Linked DNA regions of Canis lupus familiaris. The protein of the gene in region 1 interacts with the protein of each later gene in a pairwise test. Links are inferred from orthologs where the notes say so. Each region holds a gene or a part of one and is shown in the gene's direction. Other genes may lie near its edges.

What was found.
Region 2: the proteins of SGTA (region 1) and SYT11 interact in binary tests that used the Homo sapiens proteins (3 or more experiments, as listed by UniProt). The two-hybrid records come from large-scale screens. The link is inferred for Canis lupus familiaris from reciprocal best matches to the Homo sapiens genes SGTA and SYT11.
Region 3: the proteins of SGTA (region 1) and EVA1B interact in binary tests that used the Homo sapiens proteins (3 or more experiments, as listed by UniProt). The two-hybrid records come from large-scale screens. The link is inferred for Canis lupus familiaris from reciprocal best matches to the Homo sapiens genes SGTA and EVA1B.
Region 4: the proteins of SGTA (region 1) and NAXD interact in binary tests that used the Homo sapiens proteins (3 or more experiments, as listed by UniProt). The two-hybrid records come from large-scale screens. The link is inferred for Canis lupus familiaris from reciprocal best matches to the Homo sapiens genes SGTA and NAXD.
Region 5: the proteins of SGTA (region 1) and ZG16 interact in binary tests that used the Homo sapiens proteins (3 or more experiments, as listed by UniProt). The two-hybrid records come from large-scale screens. The link is inferred for Canis lupus familiaris from reciprocal best matches to the Homo sapiens genes SGTA and ZG16.
Region 6: the proteins of SGTA (region 1) and SPP1 interact in binary tests that used the Homo sapiens proteins (3 or more experiments, as listed by UniProt). The link is inferred for Canis lupus familiaris from reciprocal best matches to the Homo sapiens genes SGTA and SPP1.
Region 7: the proteins of SGTA (region 1) and ZG16B interact in binary tests that used the Homo sapiens proteins (3 or more experiments, as listed by UniProt). The two-hybrid records come from large-scale screens. The link is inferred for Canis lupus familiaris from reciprocal best matches to the Homo sapiens genes SGTA and ZG16B.

The regions. Positions count from the first base shown.
Region 1 is NC_049241.1:56,918,744-56,921,954, forward strand, and holds the end of SGTA (small glutamine-rich tetratricopeptide repeat-containing protein alpha), read left to right. Parts: intron 1-1,061; coding exon 1,062-1,099; intron 1,100-1,813; coding exon 1,814-1,903; intron 1,904-2,089; coding exon 2,090-2,204; downstream 2,205-3,211. UniProt on the Homo sapiens protein: Co-chaperone that binds misfolded and hydrophobic patches-containing client proteins in the cytosol. Mediates their targeting to the endoplasmic reticulum but also regulates their sorting to the proteasome when targeting fails.
Region 2 is NC_049228.1:41,911,118-41,915,845, reverse strand, and holds the start of SYT11 (synaptotagmin-11), read left to right. Parts: upstream 1-1,793; 5' UTR 1,794-2,067; coding exon 2,068-2,101; intron 2,102-2,793; exon of another isoform or gene 2,794-2,897; intron 2,898-4,728. UniProt on the Homo sapiens protein: Synaptotagmin family member involved in vesicular and membrane trafficking which does not bind Ca(2+). Inhibits clathrin-mediated and bulk endocytosis, functions to ensure precision in vesicle retrieval.
Region 3 is NC_049236.1:6,009,149-6,013,320, forward strand, and holds EVA1B (protein eva-1 homolog B), read left to right. Parts: upstream 1-1,754; 5' UTR 1,755-1,816; intron 1,817-2,110; 5' UTR 2,111-2,116; coding exon 2,117-2,183; intron 2,184-2,563; coding exon 2,564-2,997; 3' UTR 2,998-3,251; downstream 3,252-4,172. Other genes in the region: SH3D21 (SH3 domain-containing protein 21), read right to left, coding at 4,060-4,131.
Region 4 is NC_049243.1:59,036,445-59,040,674, forward strand, and holds part of NAXD (ATP-dependent (S)-NAD(P)H-hydrate dehydratase), read left to right. Parts: intron 1-131; exon of another isoform or gene 132-206; intron 207-1,171; coding exon 1,172-1,322; intron 1,323-4,230. UniProt on the Homo sapiens protein: Catalyzes the dehydration of the S-form of NAD(P)HX at the expense of ATP, which is converted to ADP.
Region 5 is NC_049227.1:18,003,447-18,007,530, forward strand, and holds ZG16 (zymogen granule membrane protein 16), read left to right. Parts: upstream 1-1,454; 5' UTR 1,455-1,552; coding exon 1,553-1,607; intron 1,608-1,782; coding exon 1,783-1,915; intron 1,916-2,616; coding exon 2,617-2,932; 3' UTR 2,933-3,041; downstream 3,042-4,084. UniProt on the Homo sapiens protein: May play a role in protein trafficking. May act as a linker molecule between the submembranous matrix on the luminal side of zymogen granule membrane (ZGM) and aggregated secretory proteins during granule formation in the TGN.
Region 6 is NC_049253.1:28,635,316-28,640,105, reverse strand, and holds the start of SPP1 (osteopontin), read left to right. Parts: upstream 1-1,506; 5' UTR 1,507-1,647; intron 1,648-2,750; 5' UTR 2,751-2,761; coding exon 2,762-2,815; intron 2,816-2,925; coding exon 2,926-2,964; intron 2,965-4,790. UniProt on the Homo sapiens protein: Major non-collagenous bone protein that binds tightly to hydroxyapatite. Appears to form an integral part of the mineralized matrix. Probably important to cell-matrix interaction.
Region 7 is NC_049227.1:38,795,490-38,800,079, forward strand, and holds ZG16B (zymogen granule protein 16 homolog B), read left to right. Parts: upstream 1-1,654; 5' UTR 1,655-1,733; intron 1,734-1,817; 5' UTR 1,818-1,845; coding exon 1,846-1,900; intron 1,901-2,116; coding exon 2,117-2,216; intron 2,217-3,147; coding exon 3,148-3,478; 3' UTR 3,479-3,556; downstream 3,557-4,590.

The DNA.
Region 1 (3,211 bases):
CACCTAGGTCCCCAGACACTGCCATGCCCCGGGGGCAGCACTGAGCACGAAGGACAGCTGGATCCTGCCTCTCCCCACCCAATAACCCGGGAAACCGCATCCGTCTCTCCAGCTCGGTCTCCTCCTCATGCTGTGGAGACCCTGACGGCAGCACACCCCACCTGCTTCCCAGGGTTCGGGTGGACGCCACCACCTTCTGACGCCAGAGACTTAAGGCCAGAAGCACTTGTTCTGTGCGGGGCGCCCAGCTGTGAGCCTCGGGCTGGTCGCTGCACACCCATGGCCGTTGATGGGGGTCTTGCTCACCGCAGGCCACACTGCTGGCTCACGGGGCCTCGGTCCAGGGTCTCCAAGCATCAGGACGAGAGAAATCCCCAGCCTTCTGGCCGCAGAAATACCCTCAGGGCAGCAGGGAGCGTCTTGTCTCCTAAGTCGGTAGAGGCCGCACTTGGTCCGCAGGCAGGATGGCTGGCCGGGCATGGCAAGGGGCCAGTGCGGTCCGGCAGGGCTCACACCTCACCCGCGTCTGGGGTTGGCAGACCAGCGGGGTTTGTAGTTGCGTTGGCACCCAGGTGTGCGTCCGTGGTGACGCCAGTTGGGCGGGCGGGGCAGAGGCTGGCCCAGCAAGCAGAGAACCTCGATGCTGGTGCCTAAAAGTTAGCCGGCCCCCGTGAGCCACGCCAGGCAGGCCCCTCTTCATCCCGCTTGGCCGCTTCCTGAAACGTCATGGGGCGGGGGGGTGCGTGACGTTCAAGCACAAGCGTCTGTCGCAGCGGTGTTTACCGAGGGAGCAAAACGAGGCTCACCATGCAGATGTGTTCAGTGGCTGGGAAAACGGATCAGAATACGTCTACACGGCAGAGCCTAAGCAGCCAGTAGATGCTGAGGTGCTCGGGGGTCTCTTAAAAGACCCAAGCAGGATAAAGTGGTAAAACGTGGCAGATCAGAGGTCGAGGAAGGGCGTCAGGAAGGCCCAGGGCCCGGGCGCCGAGCAGGAGGGGCGTGTGTGGTCAGGAGACGGTGCGGGCACTTCCCTGTGTGATTTGTGTTCTTTTCTTTAGGCGTCAAACCTAATGAACAATCCGCAGGTTCAGCAGCTGTAAGTGACAACCATGCTCCTTCGGGTCTGGGGTTAGATTTCTTATCGTGACAAGACGCACCTGCCGTAAAGCCTGCCCGTTTTAACCATTTCAGGGTTTACAGTGCGGTGGTGTTAAGTACATTCACAGTGTTGTGCAGTCATCACCGCCATCTAATTCCAGAACATTCCATCACCCCAAAAGAGTCCTTGTCCCCATCAGCCATCACCCCTCTCAGCCCCCGGCCCCCATGAAACCCCTCCCCGTCCTAGATGTGTCACACACGTGGACTCACACACAGTGGGGCGTCCTGTGTCTGGTCCCTCCCGAGCATCGTGAGCTCGGTTCTGGGTCCATGTCCAGCAGCGGAATCTCTGGGTTGTGGTGATTGTGTTTAACTTAGTGAACACCTGCCCGACTCCGGTCAAGTCCTAAAACACAGCTTCTCATCCACTCACTGCCGACATTGGGGCAGATCACTCTGGGGGGGCGTCTGGGGCGCTGTGGGGGCAGGCCAGCACCCCAGATGTGACCAGTGTCCCCTGGCTGAAGACCTCTGTCTTTAGGCCAGAAACCAAGGCTATTCTGAGTGAGCTGGTGGCATCACAGCAGCCACCGTCGGGGCGGGGGCGGGCGGCCGTGGCTCTGGGCCCCAGGCGGGCTGCCGTGAAAGGGCAGGGACGGCGGGAACGGGAGGGCTGGGCTGTCCGCCACATCGCGGGCTCTCCTTGCAGCATGTCCGGGATGATTTCGGGCGGCCACAACCCCCTGGGGACTCCCGGCACCAGCCCCTCACAGAACGACCTGGCCAGTCTCATCCAGGCGTGAGTAGACCCCTTACTGGCCCTCGGGGGTGGCAGCGAGGGCCTGCCCAGGACCGTGAGAACGCGGGTGCCGTGTGCCCATGCTCTCCGCTGGACCCCGTGGCCTCCGGTGGGGGGCGGGTGCCGGGGGAGTGGCCAGGAGGGCGCCTGGGCCTTCCGGTTGAGCCGGGCACGCCTCTCCCGCAGCGGCCAGCAGTTCGCCCAGCAGATGCAGCAGCAGAACCCAGAGTTGATAGAACAGCTCCGGAGTCAGATCCGAAGTCGGACCCCCAGTGCCAGCAACGACGACCAGCAGGAATGACCGCCCTCGTGAGTGCCCTGTGCGTCCTGAGCGCCGATTTGACGGCCCTGCGACCTCAAGGCCGGGCGGGTCTCTGTGGTGGGGGGCGCCCGGGATCATCACGGCCCTCCCCGGCTGTTTCTGTGGCACCCTGTTCCTTCCCGGTTGTGTGTGGGTGGGCTCGTCACTGCGCTGGGTTTTGCGTAGCTGACGGCTGATATGTCACTGCTTCCCGGCAGGGCCGCGGCCTGAGCGCCAACAGGCAGTGTTTGTGCAGAAAGCCCCCGACGGCCACAGCGATGGCCAGCAGGGTCCCTGGGAGGGAGGCCAGCAGGCCCACCCGGGTTCCCCTGGGCGGGGGTTTGCTGTAAGCCTCTGTTACTGCAGGATTGCAGGGAAACAGACTGGGGGTCCCGGGTGTCCCGGTGCCTGTGCTGGCTTGGGCCCCCTGGGGGTCCCAGGAGACGTGCCTCCTGGCACAGTGGCTTTCCCGCCCAGGAGACATGGGCATCGTTGTCCTCCCGTTTCTCCTTTGACTGTGATTTTCTACTAAAAATTTAAAGGGCAGGGCGCCTGCCTGGCTCAGTCCGCAGAGGCTGTGACTCCTGATCTCATGAGTCATGAGTTCAAGTTCCGTGTGGGGTGTACAGATTACTAAAAAAATAAACTAAAAAAAAAAAAATAGTTTAAGTTTTAAAAGCCAAAAACACGGAGCAGCAGGAAAAACACCTTCGAGCTCTGCCTGCAGCAGCACACATTAATCATTTGGGCATATTTTTTCCAGCCTTTTTTTTTTTTTTTCTCCAAAGTACTCTTAAAAAAAAAACAATAACAAAATCTCATTGAGATCAGTTTTGCGTTTGTTACGTGCTCGCCAACCTTCCCCATCCTTGGCCCCACAACCTGCAGCGACGTTCTGTGTCCGCAGTGACGCCGGGCCGCTGCCTGACCCGCCGGTGTCTTCTCCCTGCAGCCCTCCCAGTGCCGCCAGCTCCTTCCCACCGACTGGAAGCCGTCTCGCATTTTGC
Region 2 (4,728 bases), on another chromosome or scaffold:
GGAAATCCAGCTCCGCCAGCGCCGGAAGTCGGCCAACGGCAGCGCCGGACGTGCGCGCCCCCGAGCGGCGGTGCGCGGCGCCAAGCCGCCAGGGAGCATGCGCCAAGCCCCCAGGCCCCATGTTAGGTGAGGGCGGACTGAAGCCGGCGCGTCCGACGTTTGCGAAAGACTTTAAAAGCGAGATTCCTTCTCGCTTTCTCTGTACGCGCAGCGATCCTACTCAAAATAAGGCTGGACTTTGCGACTCGGTGGTGTGCTTTGACAACTCTTCGTTCCCGCCGCGAAATACCTGGAACGCGGAACCGAGGAAGTGGCGAATTCATAAAATTGCAGGAAAAAGACCCCCGGGCTTGTACCAATAGTGCGGGTTCCCCAATAAAATGGGGGCAGGCTTGGACTCAGCCCGCAGTGATCGCTGCGGTCTGCATAATGCTCTTAATTCCATAAAATGCTTTCAAGTAAGTTATCTTAGGTGACCTGATCCTCGCAGTAGCCCCGGGGGATAGTGGCTATTACACCCTCCCCCGCGTACGGAACACACTCCTGGCTCGGCGGGGTAGGTGATTGCACACATGCAGCTGTGGAGGGACCTCAGGTGCCCTAACACGGCTCAGCTGGTCAGGTTCTTAAACACACACAGCTGTCCAAGGACCTCAGGTGTCCTAACTCTGGCTCGGCTGGGTAGGTGGTTCCACGCACACAGTTGTCGAGGGACCTCAGGTGTCCTAACTCCGGCTTGGCTGGGCAGGTGATTGCATACACACACCTGTTGAGGGACCGCAGGTGCCCTAACTCCAGCTCCTGACATGCCAGGTCCAGCGCTTGGAAAGGCGCCCGGGATGGAGTGCTGTTTATTAATCCAACACACGGGGTTTGAATGAATGCATGATTCCTAGACCCACGTTCTCTCCACTTTTCTGGAAGGACAGAATGTCGAAGCTGAAACAATACACCCAACCATCTCCGTTTGCAGGTACACCACCAACAGCTACTCATGCGTTTAAATAATTTGACCTGATCCTGTCTGTAAACAGGATGAAAGCGTCCACAGCCAAAGAGAAGAGGGAAATTGCGGTAATCGTGCAGACGACTGCCAGGAGTCTACAACCTGAATCACCCTGCCTCTCCCAATGCCAAGGAAGTCTCTAGAAGCTTGGAGTTTCCTCTGTATCCTGCTCTTCAACCTGCAGGATATACAGTTCTGTCGGTTTCCTTGCTGGCTCTGCCCTTGTGTCTCCTTCTCTGACCCCCTATAAGCCCTTGGAAGTTTTTGTAAGAGGAATACCCAACACGGGTTAACTCTGACACACCTCATTAGTCTTTTTTAAAAAACAGCTTTCATTTACACCACAAAATCCATCCGTAGATGGATTGCAGAATTGTTCTACAAGTATCCCCAGTAAGTTTCCAGAGTTGTGCAACCATCACCTGGTTTAGTCTTTAATCAGAGCTTCTGAAGTTTAAGAAAGTTTCCATAATAACATTTAGTAGTTTCAGAAATGCACAATAATGGCAAATGATACTGAAATGCAGACAGTATACAATTTTCTTTTTCCAAAATACTAGGTTCCGTCACCCTGAACATTCTGCTGCTGTATTAAGCCCCGGGAACCGGAACCACAGGATCTATAGAACTGCATAGGGAAAGACACCTACAGCTCTCAGACCACCCCACCCATCCGCGGTCCGCCGGTGGGCTGGGTCTCCCTCTCCAGAAATCTCGGCGGTCCCCTCGCCGGGAGCTTCCGGGGCGGGGCCTGGCTCCCGGAACTCTTCGGGCGGAGGCGGAGTCTCCTGCCGAGGGCCGCTCGGAAGAGGGCGGGGCCTACCCGCATCAGGACCAGTCTGGCTGCACCTGCATCCTTCCGCTCAGAGCATCCCCGGAGCATCTTAGGAGGCGGCCGCAGCTGGCAGTCAGGGGCCCGACCGTCGCAGGAGGTGTCCGCCAGACACCTTCCCCCTCCCCTGAGCTGGCCCTCTACAGCGGCGGCCTCGGTGCTGACCGGGCGCCCCCAGACTCGTCTGATCCCTGAAAAAGCATACATAGCAATAGCCTCTGATTACGACATGGCTGAGATCACCAATATCCGACCTAGCTTTGGTAAGTAGAGTGCGGACAACTAAAGCCTGGGGCCGTGGGCACCGCCGCACAGCCAGGGGCGCCCAGTGCCGGGAGGGAGCGAAGCCCACCCCAGGGCCTTCAGGGTCGGACCCGCTAGGATTGGGCCTGCGACGGCGAGCGGCGCCAGAACTTGAGCTGCGGGTGCAGGGGCCAGCCAATCCGGGGGTCCCCGGGGGTCGCCGGGGGTCGCGGGTCGCGCGGAAACCTGTGTGGCCCGAGTCGGCGCTCTGCAGGGGAGGAAGGGAGGAGGATGAGGACCTCTCCCCCTCGGGGCGCTCAGGGCGGTGCCCCCTGCTCCCCCTCCCATTCCTCGGGCTGCGGGGGAGGGCAGCGGCGGGGGATGGGCGCCAAGATGGCATCTGGGGGGCTGGGGGGCCGGGGGCCAGCGGCCCGCTGCGGGGAGCCGAGGCTGCGGGGGCGCCAGGAGCTGCTGCCCAGCGGGCGGGCGGGGCGCGGGGCGCGGGGCGCGGGGCTGGCGGCCGCCCAGGGCCCCCAAGTGCGGTTCTGCACCGTAATGGTGGGTCCGTCCGATGCTACCAAATGGCGCTTGGCGCTGCCGAGCTAGGGATGACGTGATGTCTATTCTGGGCCTCCTGGCAGCGCCCAGGCCCCTCTTCCCGGGCCTTTGTTCCCTGTTTCCCTGGCCTGGCCTTTCCGAAAGGGGGACTCACCGCGCCGGTGCTGGCGAGGGCGCGGACCAGGCCGGGGGGAGGGGCGGAGAGGCCGGGCCGGAGGGAGGCCGCTTTGTGTACCCTGCAAGGCATTACGTCACCGCGGAGCGGCTGGTCCCCGACCCGGGCCTCTGGGCTGTGATCCCGGCTGTGCTCCCAGGAGCAGAGAGCCCGGTGGAAAATATGGAGGAAGACGCGAGAGAAAAGCTGAAAAAGCAAGTTTTTTCCTCTTTGGGGCTTCCTCCAAAATGTGCTAGGGTTGCAAACTTCCTGGGCTATGTTTTCCTGGTTCAAAAATAAAGGAGTTACCCTGTTTCTCCCTCCTTTTCACCTCAGCTTGGATGAGAGCCCCAGGTTCCTTCAAATCCCCTAAAAGAGCACATCCTTCAGGCAATCCAGAAGGTTTGAGCATCCAGACAACAATTTTTAGGGCGGGGCCACAATCCAACTAGGAAATGGCTTTTCTCCTTCCCCAGTAAGAGGTTGGTGGAAATGAGCAGAACCCCATGAGCTCTCCCACCTCAAAATCAGGAAGAAGATATCAGATCAGGGGAAGTATCCAAAAAACAGATCACACCCATTAGCTACTGGTTCTTACTGATTCCCCAAGGCTAAATCTTAGTGGTATCTCTTTTTTCCACTTCACCTTCTGCATCTCTACCTTTGAGTCCTACATTTCCAAAACTAATGTCCCTTTTGTGGTCACATGAGCACTCCATGATTTTCTTCCTGTTCTTTCTCTTTTGTCTTATGCCTTCTATCCAACATATTCTTTTCTCTAATTGCAGTCCCAGATTCCTTGGAAAGTTAGAAGGTGTGGAGCATGATATAGTAGTTTCCTTTAGAGGGAATATTAATGGAAAAGAGAAAAATTATTTCAGCATTTTACCTACTCCATTTTATTTAATCCTTACAATATCCTCCAGTGTAGGCATTATTATATATATTTGCCAGATGAGGAAACAGGTTCAGTGAGACAAAATAATGAATCAAGTCAAACAAACAGCAAGGGTAGCACAAAGACTTAAACCAAAGTCCAGCTTATGCCAAACTCCATTGTCATTTCACTGTGTCACTCTGGCCCACTTGACAGGAAAGGCTATAGTAGAGGGAGTGTCAATAGCAGGTCTAGTCAAAGGCTGAGAGACCTAGGCACAGCCTAGATATGTCTTACAGATCTTTAGATGTATACAGGGGTACTACATAGAGAGCTGCCATTTCTGATTTTCTCACATTTCATAGAGTACTTCATTTCAAAGGCTTTAGCTCTTTGGAGGTACACCAAGCCAACACTCAATTATCCATGACCTTGGAGGACAAAAGGAGCAAGCAGCACAGTCACTGCAATTTATGACTACTTTAAAGCACTCACTTTAGCCATCAGTTCCACTTCCTTTTCCCACCAAGCTTTTGATGAAAGCAAAATAGAGGGTTCTGAGTTTCAGCATCTCTGATTTTTCTAGTTCATTGTCTTGGGTGTGAGGGAGAGAGGCAGGGGTTAACAGATACCGAAATGAAGAAAGAGGGGGGAACCCTGGGTGGCGTAGCGGTTTGGCGCCTGCCTTTGGCCCAGGGCGCGATCCTGGAGACCCGGGATCGAGTCCCACGTCGGGCTCCCGGTGCATGGAGCCTGCTTCTCCCTCTGCCTGTGTCTCTGCCACCCCCCCCCTCTCTCTCTGTATGACTATCATAAATAAATAAAAATTAAAAAAAAAAAAAGGAAAGAGGGGCAAAAGTGGGAAAACAGGTGGAGGAGAGAGAGCCTGGATCGTCCACAGATGGCTTCATAGGTTTGTCTTCCTTATCTGTCCTCCTGAAACGTGAGAATCCCTCCTCTTCTTTTCCCATCCCGCCTCCATTTTCTTTTTTTCTTTTTTCTTTTTTAAAGATGTTATTTATTCATGAGAGACAGAGAGAGAGAGAGAGAGAGAGAGA
Region 3 (4,172 bases), on another chromosome or scaffold:
GTCCCAGGGCACACGGGCGTGCTGCGGGGGGAGGCCCACAGCCGGGGCACATGGGTCCCGGGACACAGTCCGGCAGACACAAGTGTGCTGCATACACGAGCCGACAGCCCGGGACACACGGATCAAGCCCGCTGCGTACACCCCGCTTAGCACCCGGCCCTTCCCCCTGCAGGGTTGTCGCTCGGCCCGCTCGGACCAGGGGCGCCCATGCCCGGGGGCCCAGGCCAGGCCCTGGGGTAGCACCCGATGCGCAGCGGCTTGTCCTGGTGCACCCGCCACACCCCTGCTGCGGCCCATGCGACATGGAAGTGGACACACGAGTACCCGGAGGGGCAGGGACGCCTGCACACGCATGCACAAAACAGACCCAACAATCCCCAAGACACTGGGAGTCCCTGCTTGTCCCCGGGCCAGTCTGCCTTTCTCCTTCCAGATCTGCCCTCTGCTTGAACCCAGGCTCAGCCCTGGGAGTGGGGGTCTCCGGCGTGGACACAGGGGGGGTCACGGGCCCACAGGCCTCAGGCCGCGCCTTCAGCTATGCCTGCAATTTCCTCTCCCCCTTCCTTCCCTCCTCCTCTCTGAGGCTCCCGCCAAGAGGGCCTCCCCCTCACCCAGGGCCCCCGCAGGAAGGGGGGCCCGGGAGGGGTGGGGGCTGAGAGTCGGGCAGGAAGACGCGTGGACCCTGTGACACACTGCACACGTGAGCCCTGAGCCTGGGGGGAGGTGGATGCAAGGGCTGGGCACGTTTAGCCTGGAGCAAAGTGCACGTCTGCCGTGGCTGGGGTGCGGGTGCAGGGCGGTGTGGGGTGCACAGGGGCCGCAGAAGCTGGGGGCAGCTGGGGGGGGAGGCCTGCAGGGCTCTAACATTCAGTCACCCCGTGTGACAGAGCTCTGCCAGCTGGATGCCCCGGGAGGGGAGTTCCCTCCCTTGTGAATTGAGGGTCCAAGGGAGGCGCCCCTGGGAGGAAAGCAAGGTGTAGACGGGCTCTAGGGGCAGAGGGCAGTGGGTTCAAATCTTGACCCTTTGGTCAAGCGTGTCGCCCACCTTGGGCCCCTCCTCCTCTCCCTGACTCAGTTTACTTCTCTGCCAAGTGGCAACAACAGTGCCCGCGTCGCAGGGGTGTTAGAGTTAAAGGAAAGAATATTCAAAGGGCACGCACTCGCACCCGCACCCACACGCGCACCCTCACCGGCACCCGCACCCTCCCCCGCATGCGCACCCGCACCCTCACTCGCACGCGCACCCTCACCGGCACCCGCACCCTCACGCGCACCCTCACCCACACCCGCACCCTCACCCGCACCCTCACCCGCACCCTCACCCGCACGCACACCCGCACCCGCACCCGCACCCTCACCCGCACGCGCACCCTCACCCGCACCCTCACCCACACCCGCACCCTCACCCGCACGCGCACCCGCACTCACGCTGCCCGGCACCGAAGCGGAACTTCATCCGCATTATTATTATTATCATTATTTTGTTATTAGGAGCTTGGGGGCGGGTCGCTGCGCCCGCCTCCCCGCGGTTTCCTGTGGGAGAGCCGAGCCCCCCCGCCGCTCCCCTTCCTCCCCGGCCCCCTCCCTCCGCGCCTCCCCCTCCCGCCCGCCGCCCCGCCCCGCCCCGCCCCGCCCCTTTCCTCCGAGGAACTTTCCGCGGCTGGTCCTGGGCCCGCGTCCGGCCCGCGCTGCCGCGGCCTGGGAGCCGAGCGGGGCAGGGGGCGGCGGGGACCGGACGGGGCGCGCGCGGCGGGGCCCGGGTGTATGCGGCCGCCGGACGCGCCGGGGCCGGCAGCGGGGAAGCGGGGCGCCGACGGTGAGCGAGCGCGGGGCCTGCGGGCGGTGGGTCCCGGCGGGGCGGGGGGCGCGGCGGCTTCCCGGGCGCGCGGCGGAGCCTCCCGCGGCTTGGAGGGGCGTCTGCGCCGGGGAAGAGGCCCCCCAGGCCGGGCCCGGGGCCGTAACGACGTTAGGGAGCCGCCGTCTGCAGGGTGGAGCGCGCGCAGCGGGGTCAGCTGCTCCGGAGGCAGCGGGGTCGCGGTCAGCCGTGGGCTGGGGGGGGTCCGACCTTGCGACCCCGCAGGCTGACGGGGGGCTGCCCCTCCGCCCCCAGAGCGGCATGGACGCCCCACGGAGGGACATGGAGTTGCTCAGCAACAGCCTGGCGGCCTACGCGCACATCCGCGGTGAGGGCGGGCCCGGGGCCCGGGCCCCTCCCTCCCCTCCTCCCCCGCCCTCCCCGCCCCCATCCCCCCCCCCCCGCTGGCGGCTACCTGGGGTCTTGCAGGTAAGGAGTCCCACCCTCCCCCTCGCCCCCATCCCCCCCCCCCCCCCCCCCCGCTGGCGGCTACCTGGGTCTTGCAGGTAAGGAGTCCCGCCCTCCCCCCGCCCCCAGCCCCTCCTCCCCTCTCCCCCTCCCGCCCCCCCCGCTAGCGGCTACCTGGGTCTTGCAGGTAAGGAGTCCCGCCCTCCCCCCGCCCCCCCCACCTTAGAACCCGGGCTCCTGGGCGAAGGGACTACCCCCCAGGCGCCGGGGCGCCCCCCGACGCGCGCCCTCCGCCCGCAGCTAACCCCGAGAGCTTCGGCCTCTACTTCGTGCTGGGAGTCTGCTTCGGGCTGCTGCTCACCCTGTGCCTGCTGGTCATCAGCATCTCCTGTGCGCCCCGCGCGCGGCCCCGCGGCCCCGCTCCGCGCCGGGACCCCCGCAGCAGCGCCCTGGAGCCCGACGACGACGACGACGACGACGACGAGGACACGGTGACGCGGCTGGGCCCCGACGACACGCTGCCCGGCCCGGAGCTCAGCGCCGAGCCCGACGGGCCCCTGAGCGTCAACGTCTTCACGTCGGCGGAGGAGCTGGAGCGGGCGCAGCGCCTGGAGGAGCGCGAACGGATCCTGCGGGAGATTTGGCGCACCGGGCAGCCCGACCTGCTGGGCTCCGGCACCCTGGGGCCCGGCCCCACGGCCACTGGCACCCTGGGGCGCATGCACTATTACTGACCCGCCCGCTCCCGCTGCGAGGAGCTCTGCGTACTGCACCCTGCGCGCCAACTCACAGCGGCCCCAGGCCACTGGGACGGCCCCGCCCCACCGCCTCCCCCCTACCCCAGGGCTCCGGGGTCTGGACCCCCACCTTCCGGGCTCCCCAGTCCTGCCAGAAAACCGGCGGGGAAGGCCCGGACGCGGGGACCCCAGCCCCCCTCCTGGGATCGGTTAAGAGATGAAGGGACCAATGAAAACTGCATTTCCAATGACTCAGTGTCCCTCTGTTGCTTCTGCCCCCCGTGCGCCCCAGGCTCCTGCCACGCAGGGGCCCCGGATGGAGATGCCCCCTGACTCGTGTACCAGGCTGACCCCCCGGCGTCCCGACCCACCAGCCCCTCCGCACACAGGCCTCCTCCCGCTCACACTGAAAGCAGAGCAAGCTGTCACTCGCAGGCCTTCCCCACACGCATTCCTCACCCGCGAGGCCCGGCGCACCCCGCCCGCTCCCCGCGGAGCTCCGGGGTCACGCGCGCGCGCCCCAGGCCCGGGGCCCTGACCTCGACGCTAAGGCACGACAGCCCGGGCTAGGCGGGCGCCCCCGGGAGGGGTCGGGGCGGCAGGGCAGGCCCGCCCACCTCCTCGGGCGCACAGCTGGATTCCGGGCTCCCGGCTCCGGGCTCCGGGCTCCCGGCCCCGGCAGACGTCGGAGGGAGACGCCCCCCGCCCGCCCCCGCCATCCGGTGGGTAAAAATAGCGGCGCGCGGGCCCTGGGAACGGTAATGGGAGCCACATGTCGGCCAGATGTGCCCGGGAGAGACCGCCAGGAATGCGGAGGCCCCGCCCCCGCCCTCCCTCCAGGCCCCTGGGCCCCGCCCCCTCCTCCGACCATTTCCCGGCCCCGCCCCCTCTGGCCCCGCCCCCCGGCCCCGGCCCCGCCCCCGCACGGACCAGGCAGGCGCGGCGGGCGCGTACACCGCAGTTTACTTTCTTGCGTTTCTCGGAGTCGTGTGCCAGGACGTGGGTGGCCGCAGCCCGACTCGCCCCCAGGCCCCGCCGCAGTCCCTCCCGGGCCCCCCCTCAGTGCGTCTGCGTCTGCGCGTGGATGGAGCCCCGCGTCCGGGACTCCTGAGTCCCCCGCTGCATCCGCACCTGGTCGGGAGAGGGCGTCAGGGCAGGCGGGGGGGGGGGGA
Region 4 (4,230 bases), on another chromosome or scaffold:
TCAACTAAGGAAGCATTTATACCTACTCATTAAAGAAAACTACTTGGATAAATTTGTATAAATAAAAAGTGAATAAAAAGTGAAATAAATAGTGAAACTGTAAGAGTGTAATTAAAGATAAAGCTGTTTACCTTATGGAGCTGGGGCAGCTTTGGTCTTCATTCCAACTGTGACACCTGCCTGGTTTTTCTCTGCTGCTGAGATGACTGGAAGGAAACAAATGTTGGTGCCTTGTGTGAGAGTATTGTATGTATCTGCAAAGACCCTTTAATTCTAGAGAAAACAGGTGCTTTATTGTCTATTCAAACGTTGAATATACATGTTACGGAACATGGCGTTTCTCTCACAGATGAGCTGGGTTTAAATATCAAGGCAGCAAAATACATGATGAGGAAGTTTCAAGAAAGACAATTAAAATCTAGCTGTTTAGAGACAAAATCATTTTATTGTTTTAAAATGCCACTTTGGGGATCCTGGGGTGCCTCAGCAGTTTAGTGCCTGCCTTTGGCCCAGGGCATGATCCTGGAGACCCGAGATCGAGTCCCACATCGGGCTCCCAGCATGGGGCCTGCTTCTCTCTCTGCCTGTGTCTCTGCCTCTCTTTCTCTCACTCTCTCTGTCTCTGTCTTTCATGAATTAATAAATAAATTTTAAAAAGATCTTAAAAAAAAAAATAAAATGCCACTTTGAACCCAGTGTAAGCTATGTTCTCTATTTAGAATACCATTTCTAGGTTATTTAATTAGTAATTAATTGAGTGTCAGAAACGTGACTAGAAGGTTGGGGGTATGAAGATGATCAAGGAAGGTAACAAATGGGAGGTTGCTTTTTAGCAACCTGAAGAGACCCGATAAACTTGATGGAAGATTGAACTGGAATGAATATGTGTGGTTTTTTAAGTAGTAATGCATTAGAAACATCTTCTGAAAGATTAATTAGTCTTCTGGAATGTCTAATACATTTCAAAAACAAGCTTGGTATGTATAGCTTGTGTGTGGTAATTTCTAAGCATCATTTGGTTAGAGAAATAAAATAGTGAAACCATTGGATAAAAATCTATAGCGTTCACGTTAAGTCAACTTTGGGAAGTGTTTTGGTTAATAGGCTCTCTTTCAGTCTTTTTCGTGTGTGCTAATATTTTTCTAAATGATTTCATTTTCCTGTTTTTCAGTTTTACAAAGAGCATTTTCACTGCATAAAGCACGTTCAGTAGAGGATATGGAAAATACTTTGCAGCTGGTGAGAAACATTATACCTCCTCTAACTACCAAGAAGCACAAAGGCCAAGATGGAAGAATAGGCGTAGTCGGAGGCTGCCAAGAGTAAGTGACTTGGAAAATGTGGGTGTGTAGGCCGTCTCTGTCGTCTCACTGTCTGCCTGCTTACCAGCTGGCTGTTTGTCTAGTTAGACCCCAGTAATCATTTCTCCGTGTAGTCGGATGTTCTGACACCGGTATTTGTCAGTGATGAACTTGGTGACTGAATAGGAGAAAACAGTAAGGGTCCCAAGTGAGCTGTTAGTGTAGAGATTGCACCTGCGGTGGGGGCTGGGATGGGACTCTTTCTTGTTTTAGGCTTTACTGACCAGGCTACATACTTTAAATATGTATTACTTTGTGGAATTTTTTTTTTTTTTTTTTTTTTTTTTTAAGATTTTATTTGAGAGAGAGAGTGAGCACTTGCGGACAAGCGGGGGGAGCAACAGGGGAAGAGGGACAAGCCAGCTCTGCACTGAGTAGGGAGTCTGATGCAGAACTCAGTCCCAGGACTCAAGGACCATGACCTGAGCTGAAGGCAGCAGATGCTTCACTGACTGAGCCACCCAGAGGCCCCTAAACCTGTTACTTTGTAATCAGAAGAAAAACGGTGTGTTTGGTTTACTTTGTCAATTTGAAGATGTTCTTCGAAGTCATTCATGAAATTTGACGGATCTAGCCTTTTTTCAAGGCTTGTTTTCTAATTCTGTATATTTTGCTGCTGTGCAGTTTGACACAGTTTTATAATTTGTCCTTGTTTATAAAATGATATCTTTGCCTTTTACTTAATCAACCTTGGTTACCATTTCAGCTACTGCTTACTCTCTGTTCATATCATGTGCTGTCTTTGCCTGGCTGTATATTTTCAGTTTATCACATGGTTAGGTGTCTTATAAATATAATACATAGCTTGATTTGTTTCCTAACCTCATGTGACAGTAATTGGTTTTTTATTTTTTTTTAAGATTTTATTTATTTATTCACGAGAGGCACAGAGAGGGGAGAGAGAGAGAGAGGCAGAGACACAGGCAGAGGGAGAAGCAGGCTCCATGCAGGGAGCCTGATGGCAGGACTTGATCCCAGGATCCCGGGATCACACCCCAGGCCAAAGGCAGGTGCTAAAGTGCTGAGCCACCCAGGGATCCCAGTAATTGCTTTTTTAATACTGCAAATCAGCCTGTTCATGTTTAGAGTCTACCTCATGTACTCTCTAAGACCTGTTACGTTTTCTCTTTATTTTACTTTGTGTTTCTATTTTTTTATTATTTTTGCTAGGTTTTCCCTTATATTAATTTGGAAATTGTATTATGCTTTCAAATTTAGGTGTTGCCTTTTCTGACTATTATGGTGAATTACAAATGCCACTCAGGAGAGAGAGTTAACACTTGATCTAAGAATTCCTAGGGAATTCCTAGCCCAATCCCTAACTGCTACGTGGAACTTTGTATACGATACTGCCAGATAGATCCTGTGTTATTTCCTGCCTGGCCCAGAAGTCTGCACTTTGGCTCTTCTGGCATATTCTTTGACAACGTGGAGGGGGGGGGTTGTTGCTGGGGGGCACTTGTACACCTGCTGTGTCTTGCTGTGGTCGGTGGGCTGCTTGGTGCTTTGGCTGAGTTGGGGATGCTCGGGTAGCAGGATTTTCTGTGGTAACCTATATATGATCACATAGTCGTCTAGCCTGTATTTTGCACTACAAAAAAAAGTTTACAGTTTCCTCCAGATATGTCTGGAATGTGTCTTATTTTCACTAATTTTATTGAGACTTGGTGAGCTCTTTCCATCTGTAGACGTGGTCCCTTTGGATGAGGGAAATTTGCCTGTTACTGGCTCCCACTTTCTCATCTGTTTTCTTCTCCTCCTACTGCATGCTGGGCTCTTGGATCCTTAGTTCTTAGCTGCTTTTCTTCCTTTTGTCCCTGGTTAAAGGACAGTCCTCCTCCAGCCTCTGGGATGGAGGCCAGCAGGTGGCCTCTGCCGGGTGGTTGGGTCCTTCATCCTTTGAGAGAATTGAGGAAGTCAGGGTTTTTAGTCCTCACATTCCCTCCATCTCCTGCCTTATATTTTGGGACATCTACATGAGAAGAACTGGATGTCAGCTTTTCTTTTCAGATAAGTTTGGTAGTGTAGCATGCTAGGGGTGATTATCTAACTTAAAGTATGTCAGTTAGCTTTAGGAACTAACCTTGAAAATAGGATCATTGTTATTGTGATTATAAAAGTATTATCTGCTTGTTTTAAAAATTCAAATGGTCCAGAAATGTATGAAGTGAAAGCCTCAGAGTATCTCAGATAATAATAATTCAGTGTGGACACATTATTAATCTTCTGGACTTTGTGCATGCAACTATTTATTTATTTTACAAAACTGGGACCATGTCACTGTTTTGTGCCAGTTTCAGCTTATCAATAACCAGTGTTATGGGACCTGCCCCTGAGTTCTTACGATCACAAGATGCCCTCCAGCCACAACTACCAGGAAACTTTGAAAAAATAAAGCTGTTTTACTTATAGGACTTAGAAATGACACAGCACCCCTGGGGCCTCACGACTGAGGGCTGCAAGTAGACAGAGCATGTAGGTTTGGGATTCTCCTTTTATTGGGTTTGAGGGCAAGGGCTTAGGTTTCAAAGATTCACTCTTTATTGGTGAATTTGTTTTTTTTTTTAATATTTTATTTATTTATTCATGAGAGACACAGAGAGAGAGGCAGAGACACAGGCAGAGGGAGAAGCTGGCTTCATGCAGGGAGCCCGATGCGGGACCCGATCCCGGGACTCCAAGATCACGCCCTGGGCCAAAGGCAGGCGCCAAACCACTGAGCCACCCAGGGATCCCCCTTTATTGGTGAATTTAAAGCACAAGTGTGGGAATTTAAAGCCCTGGAAGAGAAAAAGACAAGTGGCCCAGATGGTCAGTTACTGAAATCAACCAAAATCTTTAAAGAAGCCTCAAGGGGGCGAGGGTGGCC
Region 5 (4,084 bases), on another chromosome or scaffold:
GGGAAGAAAAAAAAAGCAAACACAGCAAAATATTAACCATGGTAGAATTGACATGGTGGGTATATGGGTACTTGTACAATTCTTTCAATTTTTCTATCAATGTGGATTTTTTTTTCATATAAAGTAAAAAGGAGAGGGAAAAAATTGGAATATAGTAGGCACTCCTAAGTATGGAACATTGGGAGTGTAATCCCTCTCCAAGAGAATCTATATTTCAAATGCCCTGAAAGGACAATGTTTTTCTTGAAAGATGACATATTACAGGTGAGAGCACCTGCAGAACACCCAAATAGGGGAGGGAATCTTAGACCACACCCAGAAGTGATTAGTAACTTAGCCCACCCAAAGCTGATGGTCCTTTCGGTTGGTGACCTTTTCTCAAGTTTATCCTGCCTGTCCGTCCTGAGATATGGCCTTGGCCCCGAGTACCCCACCCTGTGATCTGTCACCCTTGGGGGGAGAGGCCGGATAAGATATTCCGGACCCTGCTTGACAACTGATCCTCAGAGGTTGATCATATTTGCTCAGGAGGTGAGGTTCACACGATAAAGAGCAGGAGGAGGGCTCGGACCTGGTATAAAAGATCTGAAAGTTTCAGGGGGGTTACTTTGCACCTGAAACTGCCAGGTGAGGGGTGACAGAGGCCTGAGCTAAGAGGTGACAGGGATGGCCGGGTTCAAATTAAGGGGAATTCAGGCTGAGCCAGACAGGCACCTACTTGGATTGGGTGGCAAGAGAAACCTGCGGGTCAGCTAACTGGGGCTTCTGTATCTGAGTGAGGTGCAAAGATATCTGGGTCTCAGTGGAAGGACTGGGGATGTCTGGGATGCTCGGGGGAATCAATGTGGCCAGATTTGTGTTAGTGGAGAAAGAATGATGACAAATAGAGCAGGCATCTGGAATCTAATATCTGGAGCTGGTCCAAACACCTTCTGCAATCTCTATCCACCTCTGCCTGAACTGCTCTGATGCTGGTGGTGGCAGTCTCCTCTATCACCACCTCTACTCCCCAGGTGTCACAGAGATGCACCTCTAAAATGCTCCTTTCCTTCTGATCTGAGATCAGCAGGAAGCTAGAAGTTTGAACTCTGCCCAGATGTCCCCCCACGCCAGGCCCATCCCTTACAGGCAGATTTCAGTTAGGTTTTGCTCAGACTCCTGGTTTGGTAAACTCAGCCATCTCTATGATTTGGAGATGGTCTCTACTTCTTTGAAAATGCTTTTCCTGCTTTGTGGCAGGAGGGATCAGGACTTAACACAGCTTGGTCCAGATAGAGGGTTAGGATTGATCTTCTGATCTGGGATGGAAGAAGGGAGTTGGCTCCCTCTGGACCAGGGACGACAGAGGGGTTAAGGACAGAAGACAGTCGGCCAAGAGCAGGACTAGAGATTAGGGACAATCCTTTCTAAGCCCAAGACTGGGTCAGTGAAGTCTGAGTTGAAGACAAAGAAGGCTGACACTCAGCTGGAGGTCAGTGAAACCTGAGTAAATGAAAGCCAAAGAAAAAAAGCTAAACCTTGACTTTCTCCTTATTTCCACTCCAGCCCCAGAATGTTGACCATTGCTCTTCTGGCCCTACTCTGTGCATCAGCCTCGGCCAATGCCAGTAAGTGAGAAGCCAGGAACCCAGCATAGTGTCATGGGAAGGCAGCCTCCTGCATTGCTGGTGGCCAAGGCTTTCAGAGGCTGGCTCGGAGTGGTGGGCACTGAGCTGTGGGAGGTGGTGGTGGGGAAACTGAGCTTTTGAGATTTCTCCCTTCAACTCCTACTGTCCCCTCCAGTTCAGGCTAGGTCCTCCTCATACAATGGAGAGTATGGAGGTGGTGGAGGGGAGCGATTCTCCCATTCTGGCAACCAGCTGGAAGGCCCTATCACCGCCCTCCGTGTCCGGGTCAACAGATACTACATTGTAGGGTAAGATTCTTTGTGTTTCTGTGGTTTGGGGATCTGCTCTGATCTTGCTAAACTGGAAAGTTCTCAGTCACTTTGGGTCATGGCTGTTCCAGTCAACAAATCCCAGGGATAACATGATACGTGAAAGTTGTTAGAGGACAGGGATCTGAGGTCAGCTCTGCTAATAACCCTACAGCCCCCCAGCACACATGACCTCAGGCAAATCATAGGCCATAGCTGCTCAGGCACTTGGAAGCTGGCTAGTCGGGCCCCACCTGAGGTGTAAGCCCCCTCTGGCATCTTCCATCTTTGCTGACTCTCTCCAGACAATGTATAGCCTTCTAATCCTGGACTACACCCTGGAACAACAAAGTATCTTCCCTAACGAGAACTTTCCAGAAAGATCCCCCTGCTCCCTTTGTATTGGGGGTGGGGTGGGGTGGGCAGCACAGTGGGAATCTAGATTCCAAAATCAAGCTCCAACGCTGTCTGCTTGACTCTGGCTAGGCAATTTTTCCTTTCTGAGCCTCTGCATTTGTGGGCAAAGCGAGTTGAAGTTCCCTGTATGATCTCAAGGGCTCACTCACCCCTCACACACTGTGGAGTTGGCAGCAGACCTGTTGCCCCATCACCAGTCTGCAAGTCTCAGCAGGGAGGCGGGGAGGTCCTGAATTATGATCAGCCCAATGTCAGTCTTCCTTCCTTCCTCACCCTGCCCCTAGCCTCCAGGTGCGCTATGGCAAGGTATGGAGCGACTACGTGGGTGGCACCCAGGGAGATCTGGAAGAGATCTTCCTGCACCCCGGGGAGTCAGTGATCCAGGTGTCTGGCAAGTACAAGTACTACCTGAGGAAGCTGGTCTTCGTGACGGACAAGGGCCGCTACCTGCCTTTTGGGAAAGACACAGGCACGAGCTTCAACGCCGTCCCCTTGTACCCCAACACTGTGCTCCGATTCATCAGCGGCCGTGCTAGCTCCCTCATCAATGCCATTGGCCTGCACTGGGACGTCTACCCCAGTGACTGCAGCAGTTGCTGAGATCCAGCCTTCTCCAGGCCCTGCATTGCGGCGACGGGTATGGGAACCTCTTCACCACTAACTCCATCTGCAAGGCTCAATAAAGACAAAATAAAAGAACCTAGCTAAGGCTCGTGTGTGTGGGTGTGTGCAGCTGGAATCTGCCTCCTGACTCTGGCTGTGAACGAGCGAGCGAATCTCCTATCTGGCTGTCGGATGTCATTCTAGGGAAGAGTGGGAGGGAGAGGAGAGAGGTCTAAGAGTCCTGGGCTTTTCTTCCTAATTTATCAAGAGGAGATAAGATTAGGGCTTGTACCAACTCTTTTTTTCAAGGATAGCTCCTGAGACTTTACCCAAACTGGAGTCCTAAGGCTAAGGGCTGGCCTGGCTGGGGCTTGTCGCCAAAACCCCAGATGTTCCACTCCCTAGATCGCCTCTACCCTTGATAGTCCCTCTTCCTCAAAAGGCCCTCTTGACCTTAACTCACCTGCTATCTGTGACTGGCCTGGGCTATTTTCCTTTGTTCTTTCCCAGAATCCACCTGACTTCTGAAACTTGGCCTGTGTCAAGGACCTTGCCTGTTACTCCAGCCTTGTTCCTCCCCAACTTTGCCCAGAAGCACTAATGTCCTTGCTTAGTTTAGCTCACTCAGAACTGGGCTTCCTTCCCTAGGAAGCCACCACCTCCTCAACAGCTTCTACTCTGCCAATACCATCCTCAAAAACAGGCATTACAAGAGGGTAGATTTCCATCGTGGGTTTCTATGAACGTTCAGGGGAGGCAACAGAGTGGTTTCACAGATATAGCAAGGCTATAAAGTTGCTTTAGAAAGAATTCTTAGGACTCTAGCTCCCACTTCTAAGACTGTGACAGTTTTTTTTTTTTTTTTCTTTGTCTTTTGGTGGTGGTGGCTAGGGGTGGGGGAAATCACTCCCTGCTACCAGTAGATGGATTCACATTGTGGGCAGTGCCAGAGTCACATTTCTTCCCCATCAGACAAAGACAACAATTATGTACACGTAATTTTAGAAAGAAGTATTAACATTATAGAAGCAACTCATGCCTAGCCTTTTTTTTTTTTTTTTTTAATTATTTATTTGATAGTCACAGAGAGAGAGGCAGAGGGAGAAGCAGGTTCCATGCACTGGGAGCTCGACGTGGGACTCGATCCCG
Region 6 (4,790 bases), on another chromosome or scaffold:
AAGAAATTATGTAATTCATATTTTTATTAAGAACAGCAATCAGTAAATAGTAGCTGACACATTAGACAGAACTAATAATAAATAGGACCATTTATCTTTAATCTCACTTCGCACACAATTCTTACAATGGAAGTGTGAGGTAAATGAATAGTTGCAACCCTCATTTCTCACAACTGAGAAAAGTAGATGAAAATTAAGTAATCTCAAAACAATATTAAATATTTAAAATGGAATCAGAGCTATGCTACCTCTAATTTCTGTTCTGATATTCAAAGTCACCTGTAATTTTTTTATTTAAATACCTTTTAAATACCCAGTAAAGTTTTTTTTAATATGGAAAAATGTTTTTAATTTTATTTTATTTATTAAGTAAAACCTTTATATATCGTGGGAGAAAAACTGGAAAAAAAATGATTCATAGAGCAATCTATTCCTATAGTGATATGAAAACTACCTTATTGATGTACACAGTTTAAAGATCATACATCTAACCTCATTCTAATAACCTATTCCACTTAAAGATATTACAAATGATGACTACTTGCTTCTCCAAAACTTTCAGGAATAGTTAACACACACAGTGCTTCAAATATGCATATAATATGTGCCAAGTGTTGTTAGTTTTGCACATACTAATTCATTCAAACTTCTCACAATCCTCATGAGCTAGATAATAGCGTGTGTATTTGACAGATGAGGAAACAAATATAGGTAGGCTAAGTGACTTGCCCAAGGTCAAACAGCTAATGGTGGCAGTGTAGGACTCAAAGCCACACTCTGGCCCCAGAAGCAGCCTTCTCAAGCAGTAACACTGCTCCCAGTCAGAAACTACTTTACTTCTGCAGTATATACAGTAAATTACCATTCTTCTATTTTGTATAGCAAATTATCTGATTCACCACCTCCAAACAATTCAAACAGCACAACAAAAATTCATGTCCTTGAAGGGTCATCGTAAATCCAACTTGAACATGGGCATGAACATGGAATTTAGTGTTAGTAATGTCATTTGTCTAAATGACAAGCTGCTATATACTTGAAATCACAATACCAAGCTTGAGTAGTGAAGGATGGAGGGGGCCTCTCTGAACTCTTCATACACCTGAAGGAGAGATAGCCTCGCACCTGTTAAACAAGTATATCTGTGAGGCAAATTTGGTTGCATATATGACCTTAATCTGCTATTTAACCTGAAAGAAACAAAAGTCTATTCCATTTTATTTAAGACTAATTTAATATTAATATTTTTTTCTTCTAGCTCAGAAATTATAGACTGTTTCAAAGAACTAGTCATTCCTCCCCACTTTTTTGTAGGACCCCTAGATGCCCTTCCACCATGCTAAATGCCAACCCCATAAATGAAAAAGCTAGTTAATGATATCGTACACAAGTAATGTTTTAACTATAGTTTGTGTGTTTGCTTCTTTGTTTTTTAACCACAAAAACCAGAAGGGGAAGTGTGGGAGCAAGTGGGTTGGGCAGTGGCAAAAAAACCTCATGACACATTTCTCCGCCTCCCTGTGTTGGTGGAGAATGTCTGGAGCAGCATTTAAATTCTGGGAGGTCCTGGTTGTCAGCAGCAAGAGAAGGAGAGAAGTGCAGCATCGTCCAAGACTGGGCTCTCTTCTCAGCCAGCCACAGAGCAAGGTAAGCCCGCAGTTCACTACCCCGTGTATTCAGCTTCATTTCAGGGGCAAGGGCAAGTCGTGAGGAAAGGAATTGAACTGTAAAGCTGTTAAGCAGACTTGAATTGTTCTAGGCTTTTAAATGAGCATGGGGATACGTTACAGATTTCCTGGAGGAAAGGTAACTGGTTATTTTAAAAGCCAGTCATTTATAGGACTCAAAAATACTTTGAGTCCTCAAAAGAACTGAAATTATTTCTTCCAATCAGAAGGAAAAAAAATGAAAAATTCTATGCCCCTTTCAAATAACTATATACATTAATTTAAATGGGTAGATGGCTGTGGAAGCATTTAAAGGGATAAAAATCTTTAGTGGTAATGTAAGCTAATAATAATGCTATGTTTTAATGATTTAATGTATCCAACCTATTTTCAAGAGAAAAGAAAAACCTTCTGAATAATTTACTTCTGTATTTAGCTGTTAGATTTTTCACCAAAATAACTGTATGACACTATTTAGACTTATTATCATGAATAGAAAAGCTGTTGACTATTTTCTATGTTTTGGTTTCTGTTTCAAATTTCTAGAATGCCTTTCTTAAATAACTGAGTTTTGAGACAGCCTCATTTTATCTAAGTGGTACCTTCTTAATAATTTCAGTTATAAATCACACTTAAAATGCACGCTGGAAAGATGGAGAAAGCAAGTTTCTTTCTATAGTTCTATTTTCTTTCTTCCCCTTTGTGTTTTTCTTCTCTGAGAAATAAAGATTCCAACACTAGCTTATTATTTTAGTTAAATTACTAATGATCTGTTTTTAGGTTGAGATAGCTGGAGCTATCAGGGAGTAATGATATAATTCCTGGAATTCTAAATTTTAAAGTTGAATATAGACTTGGGAGATTCCGCTCTCCCTTGCCTAATAGTGAGAGATAAAGAGGTGGCATTACAAATATTAACTCAAAAGAACATAGTGTTTGAAACAAGAGTTTTCTCCAAAAGGCAGAAAGTATTCTACAGAAAATATATTTTATTAGTAATGATTTTGTGATGTGGTAGCATAAAGAAGTATGACTGTTTTACCCTACAAAGAAACCGAATATTCCTTATAAAATATTTTGCAGGAAAACTCACCATGAGGATTGCAGTGATTTGCTTTTGCCTCTTAGGCATTGCCTACGCCATTCCGGTGAGTACAGCTGCATCTTAAAGGAAATTTCTCAAAATAAATGAATTGTGTGCTCCCCTGTGCTAGGAACACATTCACATTGTTCTTTGTTCATTTTTTCTATTTCAAAGATTAAGCACGCTGATTCTGGGAGCTCTGAGGAAAAGCAGGTAAGCATCTTTTCGGTTTATCATGTAATTAAATTATATGCAGCTGTACAAGAGGTACTACAAACATATTTGTTGCCATTTTACTTATCTTCATAGTCTTGCTGTTGATTGATAAGTATTTACTGACTGCTGCTTTCAATCTAGGCCTGCTAAGTACACTTACAGATGGTCCCCAACTTATAGTGCTTCCATTTACAGTTTTTCAACTTTACGATGGTAGGAAAGCCATATGCTAGTAGAAATCATACTTCAAATTTTGAATTTTGAACTTTTCCGGGCCTGGTGATGTATGGTACAATATTCTCTTGTAATACTGGGCAGTGACAGTGAGTTGCAGCATCCAGCCAAGCCACGGGATCACAAGAGTAAACACCAATATGCTTCCAACTATTCTGTATGCATACAACCATTCCATTTTTCACTTTCAGTACAGTATTCAATAAATTAAATGAGATATTCGATGATTTGTTATAAAATAGGCTTTGTGTTAGATGCTTTTGCCCAACACAAACTAATGTATACATTCTGAGCATGTTTAAGGTAGGCTAAGCTGTGCTATGATGCCCAGTAGGTTAGGTGTACTAAATGCATTTTTGACCCACCATATTTTCAACTTGCAATGGGTTTATTAGGACATAACCCCATTGGAAATTGAGGAAGATCTGTGTAGTTTTTAGTAAATATATGCTCTTAACACCAAACTAGTTCTTTTATATAATAAAATAATGCTCTAGGCCATTGTCATTTATATAAAATGAATTCTAGGAAGTCAAGTGAATTTTTCTTTCCATGAGTCAACATACTGTACTAGACATAGAAAATTCCATCCATGCTTTTTTAAGTTTATTTTTTTTAATATTTTATTTATTTATTCATGAGAGGCACAGAGAGAGAGAGAGGCAGAGACACAGGCAGAGACACAGGCAGAGGGAGAAACAGGCTCCATGCAGGGAGCCTGACATGGGACTCGATCCCGGGTCTCCAAGATCACACCCTGGGCCAAAGGCAGGCACTAAACCACTGAGCCACCCAGGGATCCTCCGCTTTTTTAAGTTTAAAATTTGTCTCACATACTGGATAGTTTGTATGGCCACAATATTCATAATATCTACTAAGATATTTGCTAAGAAACCCATTAAAAAAGAAAGGTTTTTATGCTGTTTGGATCTATTATGCTTGTCAGCTGACTTTAGATAACAATTTTCTAACCGAGCATAAGACCAAATAAAACCCTTTATTATAACTCTTTGACCAGCACCATAGATGTACATGCTCCTCCAAAATAGGTAAAATTGTGCCAGCCAAACAACAAATGGGCATTGTCCTGAGGAGCTTAGGCTAAAAGATACACAGAGTTCAATCCCAGATGAACAGAATAAAGGCCTGTGTAGTGTTCTCTGGGGTCACTGAAAGTAGATTGCTTAATGAAGACATTAGGAGATGTTTTGCTGCAAGTGTCTAGGTGTGCAAGTAGGTGTGTATAGGCATGTCTGTCTTCTAATTGATTTGAGAAAACAAATACGGAAGCACATTAATAAGCCAGAAAAATTAACATTTCCAAAAAAAATAGAGGTCACACTATCTGAGGCAAGAATTGATGCCTTTTACATAGAATAAATATGGCCCATAAAGCTATGACAGTATAAATTATTAAATTATATTTAGGAGAGAAGTGAAGAGATCAACCTTCCAGAATCCTAGAAATCTAGAGCTAGTAAGAAATATGGGAAAGTTACAAAGAGATACCTCTGAAGATGAATTGGTTATCTGTATTATGACTATTAGGGGGTTTTAATCTGTTTTGTTCATCTATATTGTCTTCATAT
Region 7 (4,590 bases), on another chromosome or scaffold:
GGCCTCCGTGGGCCCCAGGGCCTGTGGGAGGGGGCGAGGAGCCCTGGGAGGCCGGGCTTGGGGGGGCCTGGGCCCCAGGGCCCCTAGGGAGACAGCGCGGGCCCTGAGGGAAGGGTCGAGTCCACTGCTGCGGGCTGCCTCCCCTGCAGGGTGGGGGCCGGGGAGCCCCCAGGCAAGGGCCAGAGGATACACGTGGTTGGGTGTCTGGGTCACCGACTGCACAGCCCTGGGGGGTGAAGGCCACCCCAGAGGGTATGCACGCGAGAGGGCCGGTCTGTGTGCCCGCAGCACTACCCACGGGCAACAGCATTGAAATTCCATAGAACTTTCACGTCGCTAAGTGCTGCGCTTCTCTTGCGTCGTTTCTAACCATTGACAAAATGTAAGGAGTGTTCTTAGCTCACGGGCTGTGCTGCAACAGGCGGGGTAGGGGGGCTCGATTTGGCCTGGGGGGGGGGCGGGAGAGGAGAGTGTGTCCCCGGGCCTGGGCGCCTCATGTAGGGGTGGAGGCTCCAGCGGGACAGGGCCTCCCCCCATGCCCAGGCCCCAGACACTGCCGTCCCAGTGCAACCAGTATGGAGAGCCAGCCACTGGCACTTATGTGACTGGTCACCACTGGCACTTATGCGACTGGTCACCAAAGGACAAGTGTGTCGTTTCTGATCTTTTGCAATTCTGAAGGACACGGCCAAGACCTGCACGCCAGCGGCTCTCGTGAGGGTCTGGTGTTCGGGCCCTTGCACGGAGAAGGATCACCGGATTCTCCTAACGTCCGCGACGAGGCTCTGCGGCCGCCTGTGTACAACTGATGACCCAGTCGCAGCACTCGGGGGACAGGAGCCCCCCGGAAGGCACACACCTCGTAGGCAGGGAAGCCAAGATTTGGCCCCAGTCTGGCTTCAGCAGTAGCACCGGCAGGGACCGGAGACCCGCAGCCTTCGAAAAGTACTCTGTCACCTCCCCAGTGAGTCTGACCCCGAGGCCTGACCCCAGGAGCCCTCAGCACTGGCCTAGGGAATCGTCCTGTCCCCGATCCTCTGTGCCCGTGCCAGGCACCTCGGCTATGCGGTCACCCCAAAGCCCGTGGAGGCCAGCCCATCCCAGCAACGCCTGGCCCACGCACAGAGCAAAGATCATCACCGTCTTCTAAATGACACACCATGGAGGGCCAGCGCCTGGGGGGTCTCTTCCAGCTGGCCCCAGGCACACACGGCGCTCCCCGAGGGTCGGCGGGGACCTCAGCCTCAGCGGCTGGAAGCCCACGGGACACTGAGCTCTGCACAGGCCCGAATGAGGTCCTGGGCCAGGTTCTGAACAAGGCAGGAGCTTCTAGGGGGCACGTGGCCTGGAGCCCCCCATGGGGTGGAGACCTTCTGGCCAAGCTGGGGAGGGCCCCCAGCAACCCCGTCACATCTGGGTGCAGCTCTGGTCCAGGTGCGGAGTGGAGAGGCCCGGAGGCGGCAGGACAATGGTTGTCACCGTCCCGTTTTGTTTGTGTAGGCCATGGGGCCAAGACAATAAGCACAGCGTGTCCGGGAGCCTCCCCCAGGATGGCTTGGGACTCCCCCAGGAAGAGCTCCCACTGCCCGTTCCTTCCTGTTCCCCCCGCGGCCCTCACTCCTTCCTTCTGGATGGGGGCCCACAGGGCCGTGATGGGTATAAAGAGCCGGCGGAGAGCACCAGGCACAAGACTCTGCGCCACCAGGACTGGGCGACAAGACTCTCCTGGCCAGGTAGGGCAGCGCCCCTTCCCCCACAGGCCCGGTGAGGTGGGACGGGGTCCCTGTCGGACTCGGTGGCCTGCCTCTTCCCTCCAGGAGCCTTGGGACTCCCCATCCAGAGGCCATGCTGCTGTGGCTGACCCTCGCCCTCCTGGGGAGCACCGGCTGCTGGGCAGGGCGTAAGTCTGCTGGGTATGCCCCACCCCCCCCAGCCCGTCCCCCTGCGCGGCCACCCTCCGCCCACCGGGCCCTGGGCAGAGCCCTCGCGCAGACCGACTCCAATCTCGGGAGCCCGCGGGCTGCCTGGTGGGGGGGCCGAGCCCAGTTCCGGTCAGGGACGCACCGTACCTCCGCCTGAGCGTCCCTTCCTCCCACCCGATCCCCTCATCACCTAGAGATGTACGGGATTGGGCAAGGCAAATACTTCAGCACCTCTAGTGACTGCGAAATCACCGGGATCCGGGTGGCCACGAGTACCTTTGGCCTGATGAAGAGGTGAGAGGAGCAGGACCTTGGGAGCCGGGGGAGGGGCTTTACCCCCTTTCCCTGTACCTTCGCTGGGCTCCGGAGGACCCTGGGAGTTCTGGAGCCACGGCCTGTCCCTTCGTTCCTGTCCTCAGGCTCCTCCCGCCCTGCACACCGGCCCCTCTGGTTCTGTCTGCAAGTCCTGAGCGGCTTCCTGGGCTGATGTGAAAGGAGGGGTAGATGATGCTTCTCCCTCCTTTCTCATTTGAACCCCAAACAGCCTGTCAGTCTGAGATGCCTGCCTGATGGGGAACCCAGGGGACGGTCTGTCCAGGGGAGGGTCAGAGGAAAGTGATGGTCAGAAAAGACCACTGGCAGGACGCAAGTCGCCAGAAGTGTGCAGAGGCCAAGAGCCAGGCTCTGGGCCTGGCGGGGGATCTGTGCTCTGCACTCACAGGGTCCTGCGGGGAGCGGCCAGCACCACCGGGGACAGAGCGCCGGCAGGGCCAGGTGGACGGAAGCCCTGATGAGCACAGCTAGGCCAGTGTGGGAGTCACCTGCCTCTAGGGCCTGTGACCGGGTCTAGTCCATAACTGGGGCTCAGAAGCTCCAACGTTGGGCCTGGGGACAGTTCCCCACCGTGAGCAGCGACAGCAGCTGGAGCCTGAGGGTTGTGGCGACTTGCCAAGCTCCCCTTATGAATGATGTCATTGATGCCCCCCCCCCACGCACTCCCACTCTTCAGGTAAGGAAACAGGCCCAGAGAGGCTGGGTGACGAGCCCAAGATCACAGGGCTCGAAAGCATCAGAGCAGGAGTCTGAGAGCAGCACCCCTGTGCCAGGACCCCAAATCCACGTGCTTGGGGAGGTCCACCTGTATGACAGGGTTGTTGTCCGTGCAAGGGGACAGAGCACCTGGGGAGCGGGGAGGCAGTATGGCAACTCTTCCCCCGTCTCCCAGTATCCAGGTGAGATGCGGGTCGTCCTGGAGCACAGTGTATGGCACCTCCGGGGGGAACACCCAGGAATTCATCCTGCAGCCGGGAGAGTACATCACTATGATCTCTGGCTCCTACAAGTTGTACATGCACTCCCTGGTCATATACACACATGTGGGTCGCTACGGCTTATTTGGCAAGGAAAGTGACTTCAACTTCATGGCCTACCCCGATGAGGAGGGGCAGGTGCTCACGGGCATCTGTGGCCAGCACAAGCTCTTAGGCATCTCGGGCCTCTGCTTTAACTGGGGCTATCCTCCAACCAACATCACAGAGGTGTATGCCTCCCTGTGAGCCAAGGGGGCCGAGAGGAGCCGAGTCTGGACCTCAGGCTGGAATCTACCGATTAATAAAGCTTCTGCACGAACGGTGCCTCCGGGTGTGGTCCTTGGGTCCGGGGTGTGACCGAAGCCTTCCCAGCCGGTGGGGGATGAGGCCCGGGGAGGAGGTGAAGGAGTAGGGAGGAGGGGGTCCGGCGCCCCAGGCCTCGGGGATTCCGCCAACGACAAGGGCCCGCAACGACAAGTGCAGGCTTCAGGCCTCAAAGATCTTCAGTCTTGAGGAGTCTGGGCTCTGAGGATGCTCCCGACCCCGTCCCTACCCCAAGCCGTCCAGCTGGCCTCTGATGGCCCAGGCTCAGTCCCCATCTTCTCTGGGGCCTTAGGGCAGCCAGCCGTTCACTTATTTGCCCACTCAGCACACACTTGCCGGGGCCTGGGCTCCCCTGGCCACTCAGGGTTAGAAGAGGCCAGGTGTCTAGCCAAAGGGTGCCCTGTAGAAGTGGGTGGTGGCATCTGCATTGATGGGGACACACGCAGGGCATTGTGAGTAGGCACCAGCGTACAGGCAGGGTGATGGGGGAGTGCTCCAGGGAAGCCTTCCTGGAGGAGGCAACGGAGGAGGGTGGAGGGGGAGTGGGAGCTGGCCCCGTAGAGACAGGAGGAGGAGGGCATCCCGGGCCGAGGGACCCGCAGGGGCAGAGGCTGGGACCAGAGGTGGCTGGGGACAGGGCTCTTCGATGTGTGATTTGTGACAGCAGCCTAGGGCGCTAATGCAGACTCCACACCCTGCCCGTCCCAAGCCTGGAGTCCCACACGGGAGTTCGCCGCCCGCGTCCCAGAGACAGCCCCCCAGGGTTGGCCTGGGTCACACAGCAGCAAGCCTCCAAGTTGGGGTTCGCGTGGCCTGGAGCCCCAGAAACAGGCCGACGTTTTACGCCGTCCTGCTCCTTGTCCTTAAAATGCTGGCTGGGGGCCATGGGGTGCTGCTCCCCCGGGGTCCCAGGGCCGGTTTCCGACAATCCTCGACCTAGGCTGGGGAGAAGAAAACAAAACTCCTGTTTATTTTCTTTGTTTCCTACTGGAAATTTCGGGTTTTCTTCAAGTGTGAGTGTGACCTCAGCCGGC